Linked DNA regions of Coturnix japonica. The protein of the gene in region 2 interacts with the protein of the main gene of each other region in a biochemical or structural test. Links are inferred from orthologs where the notes say so. Each region holds a gene or a part of one and is shown on either strand. Other genes may lie near its edges.

What was found.
Region 1: the proteins of MIS18BP1 (region 2) and OIP5 form a complex in vitro, tested with the Homo sapiens proteins (2 studies listed by BioGRID). The link is inferred for Coturnix japonica from reciprocal best matches to the Homo sapiens genes MIS18BP1 and OIP5.

Annotation. Positions count from the first base shown.
Region 1 is NC_029520.1:21,981,982-21,985,728, forward strand, and holds the start of OIP5 (protein Mis18-beta), read right to left. Parts: upstream 2,579-3,747; 5' UTR 2,487-2,578; coding exon 2,213-2,486; intron 2,142-2,212; coding exon 2,075-2,141; intron 1,896-2,074; coding exon 1,773-1,895; intron 1,101-1,772; coding exon 1,019-1,100; intron 1-1,018. Other genes in the region: NUSAP1 (nucleolar and spindle-associated protein 1), read left to right, coding at 2,724-2,924, 3,059-3,124. UniProt on the Homo sapiens protein: Required for recruitment of CENPA to centromeres and normal chromosome segregation during mitosis.
Region 2 is NC_029520.1:53,297,152-53,300,898, reverse strand, and holds the start of MIS18BP1 (mis18-binding protein 1), read right to left. Parts: upstream 2,360-3,747; 5' UTR 2,331-2,359; coding exon 1,934-2,330; intron 613-1,933; coding exon 475-612; intron 1-474. UniProt on the Homo sapiens protein: Required for recruitment of CENPA to centromeres and normal chromosome segregation during mitosis.

The sequences.
Region 1 (3,747 bases), about 31 Mb from region 2:
AAGAGATGGGAATTGTAAAATTAGAGGGCAAAAGTTCTGGGTGTTTAATGATACGCATCCCACTTTCGGTGGCTAAAGAGCAGATGACTTTCAGAACGGAAAACGATGCTGGACTGACTTTATGTTCTATGTCTAGAAAAGCCAAAACTAACCAAGACTCGAATCACAAACCTGTGCTAGAAAGAAATGAACGTGGGTCAGCATAACTAGTGTCAGAGATGCACTGAAACGCTCCACTTAGAGTTGCTGGAGCTTGGCTGTAATCAGGGCCATGTTTTCTAGTTACATGTTTTTACATAGCGAGATTTGGAGACTGTGACAGCATCGGTTTGGGACAACCCCTTAAAAATGCCATTTCTAGAGTCTGGGGTTGAAGTTAACACATGAAAAGCACCGTAGGCAAGATAGATCTTTTTATCTTCACATCTTAATGATGTATCTTTAAGATATATTTTAAAAAGCAAAGAATAGAGTCTAACACTTGCTCTGATCAATGCACAGCTTCTCTAAAACGCCACAACACATGTTTGCAATGAAGCACTTGTACTTTTACCTCAAAATAATCTATCTCAGCTTCAGGGGAACTTATGCCTGCATGGCATTTTTGTATTTTAGTGTCACTTCCCATATAAAAACACTGAAATCCATTTCAATCTAACAAATGTGTATATATTTTTTTAATTCTTCAACAGTGGCTTTTCAATTCCACGTAGCAATACACAACACAGGTAGCAATAGTTAGGAAAAGTTTCATTTAAAAAGGATTCTCTTTGTTTGTTTTGTTTTCAACATGTAGAGAAGTACCCTTCCCTCTTGGCAACATTTAGGTAGTTAAAAAGCCCCATACACATTCACTAAAGAAGAAAGTAAACAGCACACTTACGTCAGAAGATTAGCTAGAACTTGGTCTGTGTTGCAGATACAGTAATATTATGTTTCTGGCCAATTAAAAATACTTCAAATCAAGAAATATTAGTATTGCATGCTATTTTCATACAAAGTCACGTGGAAACCTTACTTTCTCCATTTGATCCTTTAAGGTCACAGCAGGAAATTTCACCTTAGAAGCTTCGATTATCATTTTGCTTTTTAAGAGATAACTGGAAAACAAGTGGGGAAAAACAAGAAAAACAGTTGCAAACAAGAAGTTGCACTCATTTAGACAGACTATTTAAGCTGATTTTAAAGCAGATAAAACTATTCCCTAAAGTTCTCCATAGAATAACATGTTTACTTCCAAATCATGAAGTCCTCTTGGTATCTGCTATTGAGGCACTGGCACAGGTTGCTCAGAGCTGAGGTGGATGTTCTGTCCCTGGAGACACTCCAGGTCAGGCTGGACCAGGCTCTGAGCACCCTGCTCTGGCTGTAGGTGTCCCTGTTAGGAGCAGGGGAGTTGGACTAGATGATGAGATGGCCTGTAAAGGCCCCTTCCAACTCAAACTATTCTGTGATTCTATAATCAGATCCATCTATCGCAGACTTGTTTTGATAGCTCACGTTAGTTAAGTGGACCTGGAACTGAAGGAGTCTCAGCACCGCAAATAGCTCAATTAAAACTTTGATGTAAGATAAGGAGACTCAAAAAGTACAAGGTAGATCAGATGGAATTATGACAACATAAAACAAGAACAGAACATTAACATCCCACAGTGATGCTCTGAGTCAGAAATAAAGCAGCTTTTGTTAGGTATGTTGGCTGTATTCAGCTGGAATAACTTGCAGCTTGCCATGAAGTCCCTGACCATCAGAAGCCAGGGCAGGGCACCTACCAGAAGATGCTGTCCTTGAAGAAACAGAAGAAGCCTCGGAGATAGGCCAGCTCTCTGAAGGCAGAATAAAGAACAATGCCCACAGCCGAGCCACACGACCGACAGGACAGTGTGTTGTACGTACTGAAAGGAAACACAAAACAATTATATTATTAAAAAAAAAGCTTCTGAAAGCACGGATACTGCTGCTCACTTGTCAGAGGGCACTGCATCGCTGCCTCTGTCAGGGCAGTAAAACACGTAAGACTGCAGTGCACTGTATAAGGGCATTCAACGTGCTGTATAAGGCTGTTGCTACGCACCATCCCGTCAGGGCTCCATCCAGTCCGACCAAGAGCGTCTCCTCGCACAGCACGTTGCCGGTGACTCCTGCGGACAGAGGATTAGCTCGTGTAGCAGCAGCGCGTGGCCCCATCCCCGCCCCGTCCCGCAGCACTGACTGAGGCACACGAGGAGCCCGAGGCGCTGCTCCTCCATGGCGCACAGATGCAGCGAGTCGCTCAGCACGGCCCAGCACCCGCGGCACTGGAACACGGCGGAATCCTCCGGCCGCAGCTCGCAACACCGCGGCGCCTCCGGAGCCGGAGCAGGTGGAGCCGGGGGAGGCTCAGGGGGGAGCGGCCGCTCCACCACGATCGTGCCGCGGATCTGCGGCTCCTCCAAGAACCGCTGCGGCTCCTCGAAGAAGCGCTGCAGGTGCCGCCTCACCGCCATCTCCGCCGCTGGAGCGCGTCTCCCGCCTCCTCCACCTCGCCATGAGGGCGCTGCTATTGGGCAGTAAAGCCGTCAATCCTCGCCTCGTTCTGCCGCCCAATCAAGAAGGAGAGGGCGAGAATTACGGCCCCGAGTTTCCGGGGCCAATCGCGCTTGAAAAACACAGCGCTGGGGGCTACGGCGGCCAGTGGGCGATCACAGTGCGGTTAATCCCGCCTCCCTCACCCGGCCAAACCAATGGCAGGACGCGGCGGGCCAGTTCGAACGGCGGGGGCGGGAGCGAGGAGCTGCGCGTCGGTTAAGCGCGAGATTCGAAGAGCGGCGGTTGGCGGAGCAGCGATGATGGCGCTGCCCTCACAGCTCCAGGCCTTGGACGCGCTCAAGTACGTGGAGCTGCAGCAGGTCGCCAAGGCTGCCGGCCTGAAGGCCAACCTCAGGGTGAGCGGGGGAACGAGGGGCTCACAAACGTCTGTGCGGGCTGGGGCTGGGTTTGGGATTGGGCAGCGTCCTGTTTGTTTGATGGCTCCGTGCAGCGTTTAGTTCATGTGCTGCTTTGCTTTCTTTCTCTGCAGGCAGATAAACTGCTGAAAGCGCTGAAGCAGCACTTCCAAGGAAGAGTGCAAGGAAATGAAAATACGGTAATAAATAATAAGGCAGCCCTTCTTTTTCAGAAAGAACACTTTGTTAAACTTTGTTACTTTGTTGTGCTCTACCGTTTACAAATATTGGTTTTTTAGCACGATGTTAATTGTAATAAAAGCACTTTTTTATAGTGCTTTTAGTTTAATGTGCTCACACGTTGATAGATATGTGAACGTTTGATACGCCCTCTTAAGCAACAGAAGGCATTAATTCTGCCTTAAATGTATCTGTTAGTATCAGTACAAAACTATTCCCTGTAAACACTAAGGTTTAAGTTCTGTACTAACTAAACCCCAAGTATTTTACATCTGCAATTCAGTTAAACTGGCATTATAACAAAAGCAAAAGAGAAAGCAGCAGAGAGACCTCATTGGAGCTTTACAGTATTCAAAGGGAGCTTATAAACATGAAGGAAATCAGCTTTTTACGTGGGTACATAGTGACAAGACAAGGAGGGAATGGTTGTGAACTAAAGGAAGGGAGATTTAGATTAGATGTTGGGGAAGATTTTTAACTGACAGTGATGAAGTGATGGAACGAGCTGCCCAGAGGGGGATGTGCCCAGTTGCCTGCAGGATACTGTGACCTTGGAGGTTTCAAGGCCAGGCTGGATGAGGCC
Region 2 (3,747 bases):
TGGGCCTTCATTCTACATTTGTCATCAGGAAACCAAGCCTTTCCTTTTTATGTATTAAAAGCAAAAGTGTGGGGGAAAGACTTAGCAAACAAAAAGTTTAGGACATTTCCATCAAATTCCCATTCTAGTGCCAAACTGTCACACCTGGTTTATAAAGAGTTCTTAACCACAACACCAGAGTCTGAATGAACATCAGACAGGTACAAATGGAAAAACAAAAACAACAGACAAATGATGTCAGGCTTCAATGCCCGAAGGCAGCATCCTGACCTACAGCCTGCAAGTCTGACGCCATCTCCAGGGCTGAACAGGCAGAGCTGCAGGTTTCTTGCACCTCTTTCCTCCGTGCACAGACTACAAAGACAAACAACAGCCTGCACTATTCTGCCAATAGCACACAAGAAATTATAAGAAAGAAAGGCGTCCTGAAGTCCCGCAAGCTTTTGATGCGGTTCTAAGAGCAACATTGAGTACCTGTCTGCTGCTGCTGCTGCCTCTGCTGCAATTTCTGCTTCATACGCAAGAAGAACTTCTGAGGAGATTCCAGTACGATCGGGTCGATGCTCAGCATTTTCACAGCCTGGTTCTGGGGGATCTGAACGTGGGGTAATTCTGAAAGAACAGATCAAAAATCAGTTGAAACTGGGGAAGAAAAACATCGGGAAGAAGAGAAGCAAAAGACACATTTCATAAGATCCGAATGCAAACAGGATCTATTTTGTACTATTAAGGTCTACCCAGTAGTACCCCCCAGAGGAACACAGGGCTCGGTCAGAAATCATTATTGATATGAGATAAAACGAGGCAGGATGGAAACACACATTTTGGAAAGCTGGGGTTAGAAAGGAAAGTTTCAGAATGTTCAGGTTTTGTAGAAATAAGAGGCTACTTGTTTTCATCATGTCCAACAGATACAGTGAAGGCAATGAGGGGCTTTAAGTTGCAGCAAGGAGATTTAGAAAGGCTTTTAAAATAACTAACCATGAAGCCTGGGCACTACTACCTCCATAGCAATACTCTCAGTTAACTAACTGGATAAATGGCCAACACGTAAGATTTAGAATGACAGAGTTGTTTGAGCTGGAAGAGGCCTTTAAAAGTCATTATTTATACGTAGTACACTTCAGGCAGGTGTACAGAGATGAAGCACTGTAAGCTGATAAATCAGACAGTATTTCAGTGGCTCTTCCACTCAGAACGGCCCAAACACGAGGCTAACAGGGCTCTGCCATGGGACAGCTTCCCCTGCCAACCATCATTACTGCCTGCACGGACGGCAGCTCTGTGCCAGCAGGCAGCAATTCCTAACACTGCAGCACTGCTCTGGGTCAGAGCTTGGACGGGGCTCTGAGCAGCTGGAGGAGCTGTGGGTGTTCCTGGTCGTGGAGTTCTTCATCTGCAAACTCGGCACTGCAGCAGCTGCTGGGAGCTGGATACTACTTTGCAGATGCACCAGAGCCGGGCACCCAGCAGGTGCCTCCCAAGTATTTCAGCTTCCAAGCAGCTCTGCCACCAACCCTCCTCGTTTCTCAGCTGTCAGAACAGCACAAGCTATTCATTTGTTTCTGTTTATCTCACAGCGTCACTCTCCAGACTGAACAGATGGCAACAGATCAGCCCCATTCGCAGACAGAACAGGGGGAACACATTGAAACAAACCGATCGCGGTTCCTCAGCACGGTGGGGTTGGGCGGGGCCTGACAGACCATCCAGCCCTGCGCGGGACGGTGTCCCCCGGTCCGGGCACCACAGAGGAGCACCCGCAGCTCCGGTACCTCTATCACCGCCTGTACCACCGGCTCCGGGTAATGCTGGCGGCCCTCAGCTCGCACCCAACCCCATCTTTCAGCTTCGATCCCCCCGCCGCAGACGCTCCCTACAGCCCGCAGGTAGCGCTGCCCGCTCCCCGGCCGGGCACACGTTGGTTACCGACCTCTCTCGTGCTGCTGGTCCCTGCGCCTCCCCCCGTCCGCAAGGCGCGGCCCGGCCCCGCCGGGTGTCAGGATTCGGTCAGTGCCGTCCGCCTCGATCTTCATCTTCATCCTGAGGAATGCCGCAGCCGGGCTGTGCTGGGCGAGCTGCTGGACGAGCTGTTGCTCGGGCTGCTCCCGCGCGCAGCGTTTCGGTGGCGGCGGCCCGGGGCGGATGTCGCTGATGTCGCCGATGCCCATCGGCTCCCGGCCGCCCTCCAGCATCGTGGATTGCAGCACGGGGCGCGGAGCGGGGCCGAAGCGGAGCAGGTCCTTCAGCGGGGTGAGCGTGCCCGCGGGGATGGAGCTGAGCGCCACCGCCTGGAACGGCATCTCCCCGCGGCGGGGTTTGCTGATCATGGCGGTGCGGAGCTGCGGGCCGTGCCCGCTCTGCCCTGTGTCCCGGCACGCTGTGGGACCGGCCCGGCCCGCGCGGCGACACACAAAATTTGAGTTGGAATCGCCTCGCGCTGATTGGCCGCCGGGCGGCGTGACGTCACGGGGCGCGGAGAGGAAATGGCGGAACGGAGCGGAAGTGAGGTAACAGGGCGCCATTACGGGGCGGGGTAATGGCGGAGTGGTGTTAGGCTGATGGCGGGCTGATGGCGGGCTGATGGCGGGCTGGGCTCCGTACGGGAAATGCTGCGGCTGTTTGGGCTGCGGGTCTCGGGGAGCGGCGACAAAGGAGGAGCTCTGCTGCTCTGTTGGCTCTGCTGGCTCCTGGTGCGGTGCTTTGGGGTAGCGGTGTGTGGAGCGGAGCTGCTGTCGATGTGTGATGATTCTTTGTACCCTAGAGCAGAGGAGGGGTTGATTGTGTGAGGAAAGAAAAGCCATCCTGGCTGCCTGCAGGGAACTTCAGCTGACAATAAACAGTATATTTGAATTGGTTTCCTTTGAGTTTAGTGATTACCGGTGCTGCGTACAGGTGGAGCAGCAGCTGTGTAAGGAGGAGAGCTGAGTCCTGCAGGGCCAGTGTTGGGTTTGGAGGTTAAAAGTGCAGGTTCTTTAGCTCAAGGTCACACCTGGAGGGTGGCAGCTGTGTCTGAGCCTTGTTGGGTCTTAACAATTAAAGCTAGTAACAGATTGTGTGTTCAGGTGTCAAAGGTCAGGAATGAGGGTAAAACATCTGGTGCTTTTAAATGCTTTGGGCCACAGTTACTTTGGTTGTGTGAAGTAACAGCTTCTGCTCTGTTTTGATGCCAATGAAACCCAAAAGAGCAAGGAGTCGTCCTGCAAATCACACTCCTACGTGCATGGTCCCATCAGTGCTGTGTTTAAAGTACTGCGCAGGTGTGAGGGATTGTTTAGTGTACCAAAACTACATGGAAAATGCACAGAAAATGCCACTAAGAGAGATCAGATTTGAACACTGCTATACAAGTCCTGCAGGGTAGGGCACTGCTCAGCTGAGGGCCACGCTCACCTGCTCCAGATGGCCAGGCAGGTGGAGGGTCTTGGATGTCCTCTTGCTGAACCTCATTTAACAGTTGGTCTGAAGCCCACCTCGTGTTCTAGTGTTACTGGTCAGTAAGTGTATGCCAAGGAATCTGAGTAGTCCCACTGATTTCTTGCAGCTGTAGAGCTGAACAGGTGCATTTCCTGGGAGTGGGTATTAATGTGGGCTGGTGCTGAAGGTGTGTAAATGAACATTGTTCAAACTCACATCAGAATGCAGAAATCTTTTTATGTGGGAGAGGAGTTCCTCGCCTTATGGAAACTGAGTGTGCAGTGCTGCAGTGATTTCCTCCAGTAGAAGGCGCACACAGGCATTGTAAGC